Caenorhabditis elegans: one gene and its partners. The protein of the gene in region 2 interacts with the protein of the main gene of each other region in a pairwise test. Each region holds a gene or a part of one and is shown on either strand. Other genes may lie near its edges.

Region 1 (5,897 bases), 9.1 Mb from region 2:
TTGTTTATTTCGGCGCATTTAAAGTCTATATAACATATGTAAAAACTCAGTGATGATAATTCTTGTTTTTCTTCGGATTATTTCAGTGATATTTAAAACAATCAAGCTTTCAAAAAAATAGGTATAAAACGTTGAATGCAAAAATTTTGGTATATCTAAGCATCATGTAAGCCAACAAAAGTGGGCGTTGTGACTAGAAAAACAACAAAAATTATCTGAATACTCATCCAAACACATTTTAATGCAAATTACCTTGTGGGCGCTCTCATGTTACTGACTCGGAGCCAAATTTCTCCAAAACTATAAATTCTCGTTTTTCCCAATTTCATGCACACTTGAATTTTGTTTTCCTGTAGACATCGTTCAAAATATTTCCCCGAACTTCTCATTTAAGAAATTGCAGTTCATAAATCTTCAATGGTTGTTTTTATACGTAGGTGAACTTTTGAAATATCGAAAATCGCTGGGCCATTGAAAATAAATGACACGTATTGAAATATCCATGAATTTCCGTTGTCCAACCCCAAACGTCACTTGACAAAGTCCACCAAAGTGCTTGCCTGCTTTAAAATTCTTAATTTTAGTTGACCAATTCAACTAGCATATCTCACTATGTGTGCATAGGCATGCACGTGGACACGTCAAGTTTTTTTTTGGTTGCTCAATCGCACTAATGGCTTTTCCAGAGTTTTTTGGAAGTCGTGGTGCCAATAGAAGTAGAAGAAGATGTCAGCCATTTTCTACTCATCCACTTTCTATTCCTTACCTGGTCGCTTAATTTTGCGAATATTGAGCAAGTTGATATGTTTTTTTCGGTAAAAATGCTTTAAAAACTTAAAATAATTTTTTAAAACATATGAATAGCTTGTGGGACATGATTTTTTATTTATGGTATTCTAATCAGATAATATGTATTTTGTGCGTAAAAAACAGAACAATGGATATTATTCGATGCACCATCCACCCACATGATATCATTTTCCTTCTTATTTCCACCCTATGTGCCACTTTGCACACCTACTTGAAAACTGGAGAACCCATTCTATTTCCCGAGAAATACTTGTTCTATTGGTCATTTTATTTTCCGGCTCACTACTTTCTTGCCGAGTTGTATAAGGTTAAAAACATCAAACCCCATTTGTAGAGCCGCATCGCCGTCATGTTCAACGTCAAACTTCTTCTCGCTTTTTTCTTGTGTGTTTTGGTAGTTGAAACTACCACAAAGGTGGTCAAGGTAAAACATAATTAGTGTTGAAATGAAAGCTAAATTCACAATTTTCAGTTTCACTCAGTTTCCTTCAATCAACCATCCTGGAGAACTTCCCAACGCTCCAGACAGGTTGGTAGATGATTTACTGTTAGTTTTCAGCTGCAGTTTTTACAGAGTCACAATTTTCAGATTCAAGGCTACGGTCCAGTGTCGGCGTTTGCTGAAAGCGGCTCCTCTCGACCACTTTTTTTCGGTTCATGGCGCAAACGCTTCGATGAGGAATAAATTTTATTCATTCGTTTCTCAAGATCTTACGTTTTCCCGTTCGTTTGTCAGTGAAAATAAAAAGTTGTTATGTGTTTTTTGTTTTTTTAAACAAGACTGAACATATTGAATTAATTTATATATAGTTGAAAAGGAAATTACATTTTTGCACACTGCAACTTCCGAACTCGCTGGTCTGCAACGGTGGCTCTTTATTCGAATAGAATAATTCAGAAGGTCATTAAAAATGTCGAGAAACGTGATCTGGTCCAAGTCACTTTTAAAGTTGGTAAAAACACTAATTGGAGGAACTAAACTAAAGAGAAAACTAGGATGTGGTATTTGAAGGAGATCATTTTCCTTTGAAAAAGAGGTCATGCATAACATTTTCATAATAATCAGGTCATACCACCCAATACGTTAAGCCAAAGAACAAATATATGTAGACAAGACTTTTCTAAATTCTGGTGCTTTGAAGAAAAAACTTTCAGGCTGAGAACATTGAAAATGCAACGAAGTTTTTTGTTGATTGTTTGTTTTGTGTTGAACGATTACCCTTGTTAAACCATAGCTAAATTTTTCAACTAGGGACTAGAGTACTTGATTACCCATAGACTGATCGCGTCTGCTCCGCGCGCATTCCAAATTTGTAAAATGTCTTTAAAAAATTCTGTGCGCGCGGATAGAACGCGATCAGAGCGCAAACTTGGCGCGGAAGAAGCTAGAAAACACGTGTCATTGGAGCGTGAACCAGTAATCTAGTCGCGCTTCAGGAGGAGCAATTTGCCGAGTAGTCACGTTGGTCGATTAAATAATAAAAAACTGAACGTTATATATATATTAATATATAAAATTTTTTTCAGGCATTTTTCTGATCTCGCTTCTTTTCAGCTTTGAATTGAGGTTTGTTTGCGGGTTTTGCTTTGTTAAGAATACATTATTAGAAAACGTCAAAAGTTTGGAAAAAAATCCGTCCAAATAGAAAATATATTTTTTTCGGATAATTTTTTAGTTTTTTGAATATTTCTTGAGATTCAAATTTCAAACTCAAATGATTTATATGTGTAAAAATAGTTTACACTTGGGTACATCATTTCTGTAGGAAAAATCTAGAATTTTCGACAAAATTTTTTTTGCATTTTTTTTGACGACCAATCAAAAAAAAACTTTTTTGGACGGATTTTTTTCCAAATTTTTGTCGTTTTCTAATAATTTATTTTAAACAAAGCAAAACCCGCACACAAACCGCAATATATTATCAAAACCTGCCAAAATGATTATTCGTGTATTTTAAGAAAATTTTTTGATAAGAGAAAAAGAAAGACACTATAGTTGGTTATTAGAGCGCTATGAGGCAAACCACTTTTCCATATGTCCGCATATCACTTTATCTTAGTCAAACTCCACACTTCTTTTGTCCCCGCGGAGCAAAACTCACTGCTTTTGTTATCGAATTTTTTTTCTCAACCCGGGAAATTTCGCAATACTTTCTGACCGAAAGGTAAACATATTGGTTGCCCATCATCACGAGTAAGAACAAAATATACGGAACCATCGTTATCGAGAACAAAATAGACTGGTTGTCTACATAAAATACGTTTTAGTCTCGTCATTCGTTTCAATTTCATCGGTTGTGTTCATACGTATTGGCAAAATGACAAAAGCCCCGATCGATTTTGAGGAAGAGTGGTGCAAGGTGAGTAGACAAACTTTTTTTTATCGATCTAATAAAATATTATCAAAAAAAAACAGACGACAAATTGTGAAATTAAAAATATCAATTGATTTTCATATTTCAATATTAAAAAAAAAAAAAGTTTTCATAATTTCCAGATTTCAAATGGAACTTTGGAAATAAAATGGTATTATTTTCCAACAACTCAAAGCTTGAAAATTGACATCGAAAAAATCCAACAAGTGAAAATTCAAAGTCAAGCTAAAAGTTATGTCAAAAACTGGGGATCCGGAGATTTGTGTGCATGGTGGGCATGTGATATGAAACGGTAAACTCAATCAATGCTACTGTTTTTTCACAGTCAAATTTTCAGCAACTTTCGCAGTCACCCAGAAGAGTTTTTCAATGTAAAAATTGACATCGGCGAAACGTTCAAAAAAGGATTCACTGTACATGAACTGGACAATTTCTTGCCTGCAATTCGAAAGTGGCTGAAAGTCCAAAATATTGTTTTTGAGTGAATTTTTTTGTGTTAATGTAAAAAATGTATGAGTTGTGTAATAAAATGTTTTGTCATCCAATATTCCAAAGTTAAATAAAAATTGTTTCAAATCCGACCAAAATGAAATTGAAACTGTCCTACCCAAATTTTTCCTTTTCACAAAAAGGTAAATCGAAAAAAGATATTTATGCATTGTCGTCTTCGTCAATTTTCAAACTTATCAATTTTCGACAGTTTCATTAACCGTCAATTTTCGTTTTATGTAAATGAAACCAATAGAATATAATTACCGATTTAATTGTATGCTTTGTATAAATGTTTAATCAGCTTACCAATTGCCTCAAAACAGTTTTTCCTTTCATTCTTTGTCCTATCTCCGTCGGTGAAAATGTTAAACTATGCGTTTCTAATTCTTTCAATAATGTCTTATTAAAACACTATTTCAAAAAACTGGGAATACGTACGAATCAACCACTTTCCAACCAACTTTATCTGCTCTCTAACCAACTTTATCCATTTTTCAACCAACTTTTGCCAACTTTTACCAATTTTCGCCAACTGTCACGAACTTTGTCCAGATGTTTAGAGCACTGTAGAAGTTTTGCCACTTCTGTGAATGTCACTTAGAAATAGGCAAAAGTTGATAGAGATTTGTTTGATACTTAACCAAGCCATATAAAAAATGAGAATGAGAATGAAACGAGAACGTGGAAATACAAATTAATCTATTATCAAAAAAAAAATTAAAAATCATTACGTGTAAACACTGTGATGGTCAAAACTCACACAAGACAACCAATATTGCGCATTTTAATTATTTGTTAAATAACTGGCAAAAATTGCAAGCAAAAATAACTACTCTAGACAAAAAACCCCCGTTTTTTTTTCAATCCCTCACAATGCTTTATTGTTTGTAATAAAAACTATAATATATCAAAATGTTATATGTCAGAAAATTACCTTGAAGTGTTTTTTCTCAGACTTTCGCAACAAAAATACGTACTAATACAGCGCGCTAACTGTAATGGGACATTGTTACTTTGTAACTTCTACTCAGCACACCGACACCAAATTCAGTACATGGACCACGTATTTTTTCTAGGGTATGAAGTTTTTTCTCTGCAAAACAAAAAAGACAGTTTGTTGCTTTTGGTTTATTAAGTAATCAGATATATTTTCGAAACAACAAAAGTGAAGTTATGAAGTAAATAATCAAATGTGGTTTACCGGCTCAAGCAGTTACCAACTGACTGAGCCATGAGCCATGGAGGATGAGAAAATCCTAGATCATCTGTGATTGTGACTAAATTGTTTGTTTGGTTTTCTGGTCTTTTTTCTTTCCTTTTTTTGGCGAAAAAATTCGTTAAAAAATTTGCCCGTGCGGGAGAGTTGAACTCATCCCCTCCCAACAAAGGAGCTTTTCATCAGTGCAACAAATCCAAATGTTGTTAGTGGCCCGAATCCAAGCCATATACTGACTAGTCTTTTCTGAGTGATAGATGTACTCGGAAAAGGCCTTTTCATATTTGTGGCCATACATTTCGAGAAATTTGTTCAAAACCAGAAATGAGAACTTTGCACCATCGTTTTCCACAGTAGTGAGTAAATGTTTTTGTTTCTGTTCAATCCGTTTCCAGCTAAACACTTTTCCTCCACACATACCGCATTTGTTTTTTATCTACCTCGGCCAACAGAATCTTCAAAGGTTTTCTCCTCAAACAATTATTTAGCAGGTGATCCTGTACAACAGTTTTGGAGCTGACAATTTCTGATGCAGAAAAATATTGTGTGTTCAGCTGTGGGGAAAAAAACTACAATTGTTTCAGCCTCGTAAACCTCCCTCGAGGCCAATCAATAGTGACATAAATCCTTCCGACCATCGCCTATAAAAACTGGAGATGGCGAGCTGGAGATCTACCAACTATGCTGGTCGTTTAGTTGGTACATACAATCTACGTCATAACATTTTGACTCGTACACAAAACAGTGTTCTCAATTCTTATAATATCAATTCTCTATATTTTCAATTATATCAATTATCAGTTTGTCAATAACTAAATAGAAATTCATCGTTTTGGACGACAACGATTTAACACTCCGGAAGTTACAAAGTGTTGAAAAGTAGAAAACAATTGTTTTAGAAATATCCATTTTCTTAAAAACAATTTTCATTGTTTTGTACATTTTTCAATCTTACCGTTTAAATTTTCCAGAACAAATTTGTTTCATGTCGACCATGAAATAAG
Region 2 (6,356 bases):
AAAATTGATTTTTTGACAAATTCATTATTGACAGAAACTATATCCATAATTACGTATATGTTACAAATTTGACAGGAGACTGTTGTGGAAAGAAACGGTGATAGCATTATAAAGTTTTGAAAATCATGGGTGAGATCACAAAAACAGAACGCAATATGTGTGAGAATGTGTGAATAAGTGGGATTAGAATTTTAAAGCATGTATGTACATTTGTTATGAGTGATTATGATATTCGTAACCCGTCTCCAACTCCGAGTTTAACACCTTACGCCGCACTCGTGATGACTGCTCGATGTTGCTTTCACGCACCTGAAAGCTGAATCGAATAGAATGAAAATGTCTTGGCTGGAGAACATTCTTTACCTTTCCAAGATGAAATGTTTCTTTGATGCTTTGACGAAATCTTGTTGAAAGGAATGCGTAGAGGAATGGGTCGACGGCGGCATTAAAGAACAGAAGCAGGAAACTGATGGGTTGGAGTACACTTTGAAGGCAGTTCAAACATCTTGGCGCTGAAAAGTTTGATGTTTATGATCTTGGAACTTGGAGGTTCAGGTGGACGACGTGCTTACCCATCGGATCTCGCCAGACGGTCCACATAAAATATACATATCTCGGGAGTGAGAAGAACGCGAATGCCACGACGATTCCGACTGCCAAACGACCAACCTGAAGTGAAATTGAATGTCAGAAATATATCAACAAAATACTTTTTTGTTGAAAAATGTATGTTTATAAATTTTGTCGATTTTGTAGTTTGTAGTTTGATATTACTTCTGAAAATCTGGAGGCTTTCCTCACAGTGAATGACCCTTTTTTTTTCTGTCCCGTTAATAAATGTTCCAATTTTTGAACTGGTTTTAAACACATGTGCCTAGTCTTTTGATTTATACATGTACTTTTTTAAAAAGCAAGTTTCAAGCTAAATATCAAATGCTGCCCTATACCAAACTTTTGAATAATTCAACAAATTTCAATAACTTTTGGTTTTACCATATGGCTAAGTGTCATCTCTCAGAACTAAACGTTTGAGAAAAAGTGGTTCGACTTGGCACAAACAAACTGTGAACACATGTTCTGAATCTTTAAACAAACCTTTCTCCTCTTCTCCACTGACACACCGCCGGTTGAGGCTTCGGATCGCCAGCTTGATCTTGGCAAAAGCTTGTTGGCGGAGTGTTTCGTGATTGTTGCGGCCTTGCTCACCACGAGGCCGATGGTAGCGTAGATGCAAAGAAGGATTACTAGAGGGACGGCGTACCTGAAAAATTTTAAAAGTCAAAACAAAATATATATAGAGTTGACGAACGCACCAGACGATGAAGTTGATAGTGGCGACTAGCTTCAGGAGGTTGAATCCATAAATTTCCACATGACGTCTAGTGCAGATCTGGAAAAATCTTTATTTCGAGAAAAGGAACTTCTTGAACTAATTTGGTAATACTTCAACTAACAAAAGATCTTTAGAAAATTCTTTTAGAAAAAAAACAATGGCAAAGTTTGCATATTTAGCCATATTGTATCCAAGCGGTTTTAGAATTTTTTTTAAATAATAGTTTTTAGCCTGAATTTTTTCATACTCGGCTGTGGTTAACCTGTATGCAGGCAGGTAGGTGAAGTTACTTACTGTGTATGTCTCATTCCCGTCTGATATCTCTAAAAACTGGCTAGCCACTACATATGGGGTGTTCATAACTGCGCTAGCTGAAATTTAAGAAAACATTTCATTTCCACATTTCTTTTTAAGTCAGCTTACTTAGCCAAACAACAGCTGACGATGTGATGAGCACTTTTTGTGAAAATGCTCTTCGCACCCGCAATGGACGGAGCACCGCAATCAATCTTTCAACCGAGACCAGCACCTGAATATCAAAATGTTGCTTTTCAAAGATTCCCTACGTCATGATTGCCTACCAGAATTCCAGCCGACACATTTGGTATGAAGTGTAGTACGTAGATGTATGAATAACATAACACTTTGCCAAACGGCCACCGTCCATGTCCTTGGAATACAAAATTCACAGCGTTCTGGAGAACGCAGAAGATTCCGACAAAAAGGTCGGCAACCTAGAAATAGATTATTTTCAGAATAGGAGGTGAGTTTTGGAGGAGAGTTACCGTCAGATTTGCCAGAAAGAAGTTGGGCACACTTCGGACTCGTTTCTGCGAGAAGAAGACCAGCAGAATGATAAGATTTCCTGAAAGAATTTATGTTATAGCTTGATGGTAATTTTGTTCAAATTTGCCCATAGCTTAATTTCCTTTTTTAAAATAAATTGTTCAAGTTCTAATAGTTTGTCCTCTACCACTTACTATTAACTACGTACTTCTACCATATAATTTGAACCTAAATGTCGATTATCAGTTTAGTTTCACCAATTATTGCTCACTTCAATGTAATCTAATTATAGCCTACTGTTGATTCTGTCTTCTGATATATTGTCATCTGATATTGGATAACAAATCAAAAATGAATGTCATTGTTTGCTTGGTTGTGTGTTTGCCTAGCTACGAAAACCGTCCTAATGAGAAAATCAAATGAAATTTTGTCGCATTCACGAGTCTGAGTTAGAAGAAATTAGAAAAAAAAACAATTCGATTGTGAAGAAAAGGTGTGAAGCAGAAAATGATCTCTGGGTATGCCGGAGCATGCTTTAGGTTTAGAATGAATTTTGAAAGTGAACATCGAAAAACTTCGAAAAAAAACCATTAATATCTGCAATATTTAATATAATCATTGCAAAATATTTTCAGATATTAAAAATATGAACAAAGATCCTTGGCATACCGATTATAGTGGCCAGAAAGACAAAAAGGTAGGATACACAGAGCAAAAAGTGTACCACAGGATGATTAAGTGGGGAGTCGCTTTCCATTCGTTCTGAAAATATTCTGGTGAAAAAACATTGTAACAGTTTCTAAAAACGTAGAGCAGGTGAAAAGTTTTAAGTGTAAAGTTCGAATTCCAACCACACAAACAGAAATAACACTTTGAGAATAATTGAAAAATGTTGTGACGCAGGGGAGGAGCTAGAGCAACGAAAAAGAAGAATGAAAACGATACTGGATTTTCGGCCCTAAGATTTCAATGAATGATTAAAGATGTGAATGAGATGAAAAAAACGAGAATGAAATGAAAAAAGTTGCAAGACGAGACGGGCAGTTCAAAGAAGAACGCTTGAAGTGTTGTGAAAAGTTCACGAAACACATCTTCTTTTTGCCGTCTAATTTCCTCTTTTACTTTCCAAGTAAAGAAATTCGGGGGAATTCGGAAAAGAATTCGGAGAGAAAAGGAAGTCGGGAAGACACATAGATCAAGTGAATTTTTAAAAAAGCTCAAAGTATCCTAGGTTGACACCCACCACATCATTCTATGAATAGAAGAGCAGGTGGAAATGTTTCAGGGAATAGGAGGAAGAAGTTACGATGTCGTTCAGAGTTGACGATATGCACATAAAGTAGGCGGATGTCGAAAGGTGGAACTCAAAGATCGGAAGTGTACAAAAAGTCAAAAGTGAATAAGCTTTAAAGATAAAACTTGAAGTTGAATGCCAGCGGGATTTTGAAAAGGTTAGTCACCGTAAAATTAATAGTAACTTTCACACTTCATCGAAAAGTTATTTTTCGAATATAACAGGTACTCAAGTTGTAAATCGCGGACTTCCATCGGTGTCGGCTGCGCATTTAGCATAAAACCACACCCACGCAGGTTTACCCCCCAACTGTTGGTTATCTGAGAACATAGATTTAGCTACAAAGGATCACAGGGAATTGTCTGTTCAAGTTCAAATTTTCAAACTCAACCCAACAAAAGTGTTGAATGCTCAATTTTCACAAATTTGAACACATCCATTTTCGGAGTCAATTGCTCAGAAAATTTCTAAGTAATGATGCAACACGGTCCGACAACTACCGTGTTCCGCGCGGCGATGTTGAGAGCAACGCGAAACCTGGGAGTTGTTGGACTCAGACACGTTCGCATTTTTGGAAAATTCAGAGTACCAGAGCGAACATTTTAAACTAAAAGATACTATCCTTGAGCTCAAAGAAAATCTAAGAATTTAAGAAAAAAATTTTAATGAGGGCATTTTCCAAATTTACATATTTGCAAGTCAAACCAAATGGGAGAAAATTACAAGAAAAAAAAATAATATCACAAATTCAAAAAATTTCAAAATCTACAAAGAAAAATTGTTTTCTTCCAGCTCAAATCGCATAAATAATGACGTGAATTTCTATCCCAATTTTGCCAGTCATTACTAACCATTAGACACTTAATACGTGTGAGAACGCGCGCAAAAATGTTCATTTTCACGGGAATTGTTTTCTTGGAAATTTGTAAATCATTAAATGTGAATTTGAAATTTTAAACTAAATGTTTAATGTCGGAAAAATGTTTTTTTCGCAAATGATTAAAAAATTTATTTCGAAATTTTTGAATCAGGCTAGATGCTATGAACAGCCATTATCCTTTTGATTTATGATAAATTCTCAAAAAATCACACTCCAAAATATGAGAACTTTCGAAAAAAAATGGAGACGTGAATGAATTAGCACCTCCTGTTTTTGCCGAGCGTCTGCCTACAAAACCTGGCTTCTTCTTCCCGGTTGTCTAAGAATACCGAGTAATATATTTTGCTTTTCCGATGCTCAATTCAGTATGAATTCTATTACATCTACAACTCAGACATATTTCTGAAAACAAATTGTGGTTTGCAAAAGTAGGGAGCACGAAACTTTGAGCGAGTGCAATAATTGCCACTTCTTGGAAAAGACGGAGAACAAACTCACGGCTAATAGCAACAACAAATATGAATAATCAAATGAGAGAGTGAGATGACCAATGAAACTTCCCGGTAGACGTCTGATAGACATGGCAAAATACGAAACAGTGAGCAGAAACCAGTGTTAATATCCGGACCAGATACGTCATGGCACAAGTGGTAGAAAGGAACTATTAAAAGTCTTTATGTTTATATATCTAGCCTCATCCGGGGGTGTCTAGAAGAGGAGGGACTCTGTCGCCGACGATTGACAGACGTATGGAAAGAGGAAGTACATGACAAACTTGCAAGAAGTATACGGTTAATGTTATTAGACATAGTAAGATGGTGCTTTTGCTAACTTGAACTGCATTGCCATAAATTCGTAAATCTAAAAAATTGATGTTCAACCAAAAACGTGTGGCTGACATTTGATGGGTCCGGACTTACAGAAAACAACGTTTAACTTACTATCAGACTTTTGATGTTAAACTTTTTTACAAATAGAGGACTAAGGTGAATTAAGCAGCCCAGTTTTGTCTAACAAAACATTGTCAGTACGTATTGAAGCGGCTGACATATTACAATCTCATTTGTAACTCAAATTTTAATTTTCTAAAAGCAACTACAATGTATCAGAATTGAAAAAAAAAAAACAAACAGAACAGTTCAAAAGTGCGTGAAAGTTTTGGTAATTTGAACCAAGGCAAATGATGAGTAGGATATTTGAAATGTTGGTACAAATACTTTAATGGAACAAAGATGATGTTTTTGCAGGATTGGTGAATTAAAATGAAAATTTTGAATAACTAATGGTTTTTTGCTTTATTTGCTTTATTTTCGTTTTAGTTTATGTTTGGCAACTCATAAATTCGTTTAATATCCTTATTCGAAAAATTGTTTTATAGAACATTAGAAAAGTGACATGTTTGATATCAATTCAAAATTGCTGGGCAAAATTTGTAATAGTTATCAAAAGTTTTATGTTTTTTTTTGAAAATAGTGTGAACTCATTAGATCGAAAAAGTCTAGAGCTCAATTAAAAATTTAAGGTTCAACAGGGTCAGCATTTCGAAAAAAAATAATTGTTCTTTATACTTTGTCCGTTTTTTTCCTGCTCCCATTCATCCCTATCCCAGAAGTGTAGTTTTATTCAAAATGTCACACACGTAGCAAAAATAGATGAGTGGAAGAGGGAAGCGAGGAAGTGTGTTAACTTTATGGGGCCCCGTTTGCCAATTAAACCGAAAACGTGTGCAATTGAGGTTCTCGTGTTTCGGAAGAAGGGGCGAAACTGAGTAGAGAAAAGTGTCCGCACCACGAGCAAATAGAGACAGTTTGAATGTATAAATGGAAGAAAGGAAAGAGAAGAGACGGTCAAATGGACCGTACTGAAAACAGACAATAGAAAAGTCAAATGCGAGATGAGAATGACCTGCGGTCAATTCATACTTTTTGAACACCCCGAGTGTATAAATGCAACTTTTTCCGTGTATTCTTTGGGCTTTTCAATCTGGTAAATATTTGGTTTTTTGCACATCGAAACAGATGGGGTCTGGGGAAAGGCGAGCATAAAGTTGAACTCTAATTAAT
Region 3 (6,289 bases), on a different chromosome or scaffold from region 2:
ATTCATAACTTGTGAATTATTTTAGATCTGGCGAAGGAGAATCCAAATTGACAGCTAAAGAAGATCAGAAAGTTAATGAGAAGCCCGATGGGAAGACGGTTCAGTTTGCGGATAAGCTGGTCAAATCAACGTTGACCCCGACTGAGCAGAAATAGATCGATTTAATGGGAACTGGATTATGTTAGTTGGAAATGAAGTATCTCAGTTGTCTTTTGTTCTAAAAAACTTGTAATAGGGGTGAATTTCGTACCATGTCAGAAATAAATGTACCGGCAAGAAAATGATTAGACGTCACAAGATATACAGACCCACACTGCAAATCCCAAGAGTTATGACGACAGAAATTGAACAGGAGCGCGCCACATAAAATTGCATATATCTATTAGCAGAAAAATGAATCGGTTATTGATATGGGGAAACACTGAGCAAGAACTACATAGATAGTTAGGCTTAGAGGGTGAAAAAATTTCAGTTGTATGTAATAAGAGGCTTCAAGCATGCGACAGTGCTTTAGTTTACTCGGATATGAAGATTGTGCAAAATTGTCCAAAATTTATTGAAAAGTTTTATTCTGACATCAGGTCATTTAAGCACTTATTTCCCTAGGCATGAGTGTGTGCGAAGAAAATTTATTCAACGGTAACTATCTATAGTTTCAACCATCTTCCGAGTTTGAACTGATCTTTATACCTCCAGAGAAATCAACAATGATCGCACAAAATGAATTTATAAAATAATGTAACATCTCGCTTTGTTTTCGACAATAATCGAGCTCAGTTCTTGAGATCAATGCTAATTGAAGAAAATTAAAGTGATCAGGTTTTTTCTGGAGGATAAAGTTCAGTTTGAATAAACTAAACCATTTTTCTCTTGAAATCTTGCAGTTCTTTTTTATCTCAGTCAGAAATTCTTAACTTACGGTTCCTATTATAAAATTTAAAAAAAAACAGGGTTTAGTGAATAAAAGAAATGTATACATGCACAGGCAAGATGTCGGTGGAGGTAACCTTAACGGTAGAGCACGTGGTGTCAGGCTGTCCGATCACTGTTTACAAAAAATGTTTACAAAAAATCTACAAAAAATGTGGGAATTGTTCGCCCCAAAAAAAATGTGACGTCAGCACGTTCTTAACTATGCGAAATCAGTTGAGAACTCTGCGTCTAAACTCCCGCATTTTTTGTAGATCTACGTAGATCAAGCCTTTTTGGGCCTACTAGGATATTTTAAATGATAGAAAATGAACCGTAATGGCCAAGCACAATTACGATAAATTGTATCGAAGATTTGTCAAAGACGGAAGTATGATGATTCTTTAAACAAAAAATCCTGATATCTTCTGGCATTCAATCAACCACTTTTCGTGTGGAAATTCAAAAAATCAAAATCAGAACAATCAAAAATACAAAAAATGTCATGTTTCTCGGACTTGCAACATCTCTGACGTGACAGAATCCGGAAAAAAATCATCGCTTTTTCTGAAAATTGGAAAAAAAGACCACAAAAGAGAGTCAGAAGCCGATTATCAAGGTCAGAATGCGTCAGGATCTGAAAATAGAGAGTCCAAGACGGTCAATTTCGGCACTGGAGGTAACTCCGGGCTTCTGGGGGCTCAAGGCTTAGTTAGTTCTCTGGTTCAGGACTTGATTCACTAGCTAGGCTTTGGCTTTGGTTTAGGACTAGACTTAGGCTTAGGCTTTGGTTTAGGATTAGACTTAGGCTTAGACTCAGGCTTATGTTTAGGCTATGCTTAGTTTTAGGCTAGTCTTAGGCTAGGCTTAGGCTTAGGCTTAGGGTTATGCTTAGGCTTAGGTTTAGGCTAGGCTCACGCTTAGGCTTATATTTTGGATAGACTTAGGCTTCAGCTTTGGCTTAGGCTAGGCTTACGCTTAGGCTTAGGTTTAGGAATAGGCTAGACTTGGCCTTAAGCATTGGCTTTGGCTTAGGTTCAGGCTGTGGCTTAGGCTAGGCTAAGGCTTACTTTGTTAGGCTTATGTTTAGGATAGGCTTAGGCTTACACGTCTTACACTTAAGTTTAGGAAATAATATAAATTCGCAAGAAAAATGAGAAAAAAGGAAAAATCAAAGTTTCGTGAGGGAAATAACCGCGGAAGTCATTTTAAGTTGCTCGCGCGCGCGCTCTGTTGATTAAGCTCATCAGAGTATGTCCTCGTTACTCGGGTGACTGCTGTCATTGGATAAACAAATTTGTAGTTTTCTCGGAGCTTTCTAGATTTTTTATTTAAAAAAGAAATGTATAATTTATAGGTGTGGGAAAAACGTGAAATTGTGACGAATATACAATAAACCAAGAGGAAATTCAGCGAAAAAAAAACGGGAAGAATTAGAGCTTCAGGAGCATCGGAGCAATAAGGCTGGTGGCCTTGTCCTTTCCCTCAAGCAGCTCCACAATTTTCAGCGCAAATTCGAAGGCAGTTCCGGGTCCACGAGAGGTGATGATTTTGCCACTGACAACAACACGATCCTCCGAGTACTTGTAGCCTGGAAATCACAAGTTTTTCGGGGAGAAATGAAAATTTGGGCATAGCTTCCGCATCCCCAGTGACAAATGTGCTCTATTCCACCGAATTGTTGGTTGGAATACGGTATTTATTGCATGTTTCAGCCGAGAATACCGATATTCATACCATCAATTTGGATAGAAACACATAAGTCATGAAAGTTATAGGATCTCACTAAGTGGCCGCGGAAAATTCGGTGGCCGAGTTTTTTCCAGGCCACGTTGCAAGTGAAAAATTCGCTAGTTTTGCCTAATGTAGATTTTTTTAATGAATAGTTAAGGCTCCCCTATGAAATTGTTCGATTTTTAGCGACTTTTCACCAAAAAAAGTGCAAAACCAGCTGTACCTCCTTTCTCGAGTTTCTCCTTAACACTTGGATGACTTGTCACAAGTTCTGCCTTGACTCCATGGCTCAAGAGTGCAATTGGAGCTGCACAAATTGCTCCAATCAGCCCACCAGACTCTACTTGGCTCTTGAGAACATCGCGGACAAGTAGGCTTTCAGCCAACGTGTTGCTGCCCGGTTGGCCGCCTGGAAGAATCACAATATCGAATTTTTCGGTTTCCACGTCTTCGAGTTTGACGTCTGGCACGATGTGGGCTCCGCGAGCACATTTTACCTGGAAAATGTGAATATTTATGATTTTTGACTGGTTTCGAAAAGAAAAATTATTTGAAATTTCTGAATTTTTCTCAAATTTAAACATATTTTGGGGTTAAAATACCTCAATTATTGATTTTTTTTTTTGGGATTTCGGAATTTTTAATTTTTTAAATTCTAGATTTTTTACAATTTTCTGCTAATTCCCGTACCGGTTCGGCTCCATCTAATCCGGCATAAACCACACGAATTTCACCACGAGCAAGTACATCTCCAGTGATAATGACCTCCATTTCCTCAGCTCCTTCGGCCGCCAATATGATTAAAGCCGATTTTTGAGCCATTTTTCAAAGTTGCTCAGTTGAAAAATTCTGAAAAAGGGAAAAAAACTCAAAAGTAAGTTTTAAAAATTAAAATTTTTTGGTTTTTGACGTTTTTTTTTAAGTTTATGTTTAGGAGATTAGTCAATTTCTTGGTTTTTGACTTCAAATCTGAAAATTTTAAATATAAAAAAGGGGAAACAACTCGAATTTTGAGGAAAAAATACAGAAAAAAAAGGGAAATTTTTTTTTCAACAAAAACAAAAAATATAACAGAAAAATCGCTATAAAATATGAAAAATCTATGAAAAAAAAATCGATTTAACATTATTTATTTCCATATTTTCCCTCCTTGTATGCACTTCGGACAGTGTCGCCGTACGCCAATTCGAACAATGTTTCAGCTGACATTTTCGGTGGTGGCCATCTGGAAAATTTAATTTTTTTTTCAATTTTTTGGGCAAAAAATCTACAAAACTGCTTTTTTTCAGGTAATTTCAAATAAAAAAAATCAGAAATTTTTAGTTTTACCTCTCATCCTCAACAGTATGTAAATCAGCCAATCGTTCGGATCCTTTTTCCAAAACTTTCTTCTCATACGCAACTCGTCGCTTTTCGATTTGAACATCTGTACGGTAGGAGACGTAGGGCCGAAGTCTGAAAACTTGAAACTGAACTTGAAAATTCAAAAAAAAAAGTCAATTTTCATGGGTTTTACCCATATTTCGTGAATTTTTCATTTGAAAATCCCTTAAATCGTACTTGAAACCATCCAAATTCGGTACAACAAGCTCTGATCGCATCTCTTTCACCGGTACAAACTCTCCAGTCTTTTCGTCGTGAAATCCGTCCGCCTGGACTCCGGTGTACCTGGAAAATTAAAATTTTAGAAAATAATCGAGGATGGGCCTGCTACAAACTAGACTACAAACTACAAATACCGATTTAGCAGACCCGAGTGATATTGAAGAAATTTGGTCTGCTAGACTACAAACTACACATTTCGATTTAGCAGACCAATATAAAAATTGCCTGTTTTCAGCTTAAAATTTAGATTTTTGATTCTTTTTTTTTTTGGAATACAATGTTAATTCACTCAAAAATTTGATATTAGATCAATTTTCCCCGAAAGTTCCGATTTTTTCAGGATTTAATATGAAAATACGCACTTTTGTCTTAAAACACAAAAATTGCAAAACACTTGAATTTTTGCTAATTTCTATTTGAAAAAAATTCATTTTCCTACTGAAAAATTGAAAAATTCATCATTTTCTAATTTTTATTGCGAAAATTGAAAACTTTGGGTCTGCTACACTACAAACTACAAGTTGTCGTTTAGCAGACCCATTTTGTTTTGAAGAAATTTGGTCTGCTAGACTACAAACTACAATTTTCGATTTAGCAGACCCAAGTGGTCTGGATGAGAAATTTAAAAGTCTTAAAACGTTTGGGGTTAATATTGAAAAAAATTACAAAATTTCACACCTATGCAACTCTTTTGGATTCAATTTCTGAAATTTCGGAGAAAGTTCTGGAAATTCGCGATTCTGTCCGGGCCATTTGAATTTTTCGTAGTTCATTGGACCGATTTTCCTTTGTCCAAATGCTCCTTTCTTCACAAATGGCCATGGAGCCGGAAAATTGGTTGAATTGAGTGAACGGACTCCACGAGTGCTTACGAGCACCAGTTTCATCTGAAAAATTGGATTTTTTAATTGAAATTTTCGATTGTTTGCTTAAAAATATGGAAATTAAGAAAAAAGTCGATTTTTGAATGGTAATCTGGATTTTTCAAAATTAAAAATGAAAATATCGAGAAAAAATGGATTTTTGGCTGAAATAGCCCTGCCTGCAATACCTGAAAATAGAATTTTAAAAAATATAAGAAGCGGGAAAAAACCAAAAAAAAAAACAGAGAACAAACGTTTTGAAAATCATTAAAAATTGCATTTATATGCAGAAAAAAATACAAGAAAAAATTGGTATGAACACGAAAAACTGAAGAAAAAATACTGAATTTTCCTGGCTAAAACAAAATTTCTGGCCAAAATTTAAAATCTGAAAAGTGTACACAACACAACCTAAATAGCATAAAATTATGTTCAAAAAAAATAATAAAACTGTGATTTTTTGGTCGAAAAATAGCTGAAAAATCGATTCTACAAGGCACTGGTCACATCTCGCTTGAGCACATATTGGAAGTAGGCGGCATTCATTTGTTCCAAAATGATGAAAGTGAGCACGGTATGGGGTCCAAGACGCATGTAATATGGGGTAAAGCCCTTCCAGAGGGCGAAGATTCCTTCGTTTTTGATGACCTGGAAAATTTAAATTTTTGGTTTAAAATTTGGGGATATCCGAGTGAAAACCTACTTTTTAGCAAAAACGGGAAAATTAGATTTTCGAATTTTTACATTTTTTTAAAAGTTAAATTTACCTTTCCCCAAACATCAAAAGCATTCTTATATTCCGGTTTTCCATCAATAACTTTCATTGATTGAATTCTCGTTTTTGCAATATCGACAGGCATCGATGCAATTGTAGTTGCCAATCCACTGATCATTGATGCCAAAAAGTGGCAGAAAATGCCATCTTGAACCTTTCCAGAAGCCAAAAGTGCCTGTTTCGCCTGGGAATATGTGGCAAGTTGGGCGGCATTTACGACCATTGCTCGGAGTACTGTAGGTGTACATCCACGCCAAAGAGTTAGGACACCTTCTTCTTTTGTAATACGGGTAAGGGCATTGACGACTCCTGGAATGAGAAATTTTTATTAAAATTTCAATTTTTGAAATGAAAAATTTGGAATTTCCAACAATTTCCAACAAAATGCGATTTTTAAAACTTG

What was found.
Region 1: the proteins of npr-21 (region 2) and C18A11.1 interact in a two-hybrid assay, tested with the Caenorhabditis elegans proteins (one large-scale study listed by BioGRID).
Region 3: the proteins of npr-21 (region 2) and djr-1.1 interact in a two-hybrid assay, tested with the Caenorhabditis elegans proteins (one large-scale study listed by BioGRID).

What each region holds. Positions count from the first base shown.
Region 1 is NC_003284.9:8,066,529-8,072,425, forward strand, and holds C18A11.1 (Activator of Hsp90 ATPase homolog 1-like protein), read left to right. Parts: upstream 1-2,799; 5' UTR 2,800-3,128; coding exon 3,129-3,170; intron 3,171-3,307; coding exon 3,308-3,477; intron 3,478-3,522; coding exon 3,523-3,670; 3' UTR 3,671-3,761; downstream 3,762-5,897. Other genes in the region: nssp-82 (Neuropeptide-Like Protein), read left to right, coding at 1,160-1,234, 1,283-1,339, 1,400-1,495.
Region 2 is NC_003284.9:17,155,082-17,161,437, forward strand, and holds npr-21 (G-protein coupled receptors family 1 profile domain-containing protein), read right to left. Parts: upstream 2,888-6,356; 5' UTR 2,877-2,887; coding exon 2,789-2,876; intron 2,199-2,788; coding exon 2,119-2,198; intron 2,068-2,118; coding exon 1,915-2,067; intron 1,863-1,914; coding exon 1,757-1,862; intron 1,705-1,756; coding exon 1,628-1,704; intron 1,391-1,627; coding exon 1,314-1,390; intron 1,262-1,313; coding exon 1,096-1,261; intron 670-1,095; coding exon 573-669; intron 559-572; exon of another isoform or gene 513-558; coding exon 364-512; intron 310-363; coding exon 214-309; 3' UTR 7-213; downstream 1-6.
Region 3 is NC_003280.10:287,785-294,073, reverse strand, and holds djr-1.1 (Glutathione-independent glyoxalase DJR-1.1), read right to left. Parts: upstream 3,493-6,289; 5' UTR 3,466-3,492; coding exon 3,334-3,465; intron 3,141-3,333; coding exon 2,867-3,140; intron 2,501-2,866; coding exon 2,343-2,500; 3' UTR 2,225-2,342; downstream 1-2,224. Other genes in the region: B0432.11 (uncharacterized protein), read left to right, coding at 26-155; mrpl-41 (Large ribosomal subunit protein mL41), read right to left, coding at 3,769-3,868, 3,973-4,098, 4,204-4,311, 4,927-5,135; misc-1 (Mitochondrial 2-oxoglutarate/malate carrier protein), read right to left, coding at 5,601-5,759, 5,879-6,195.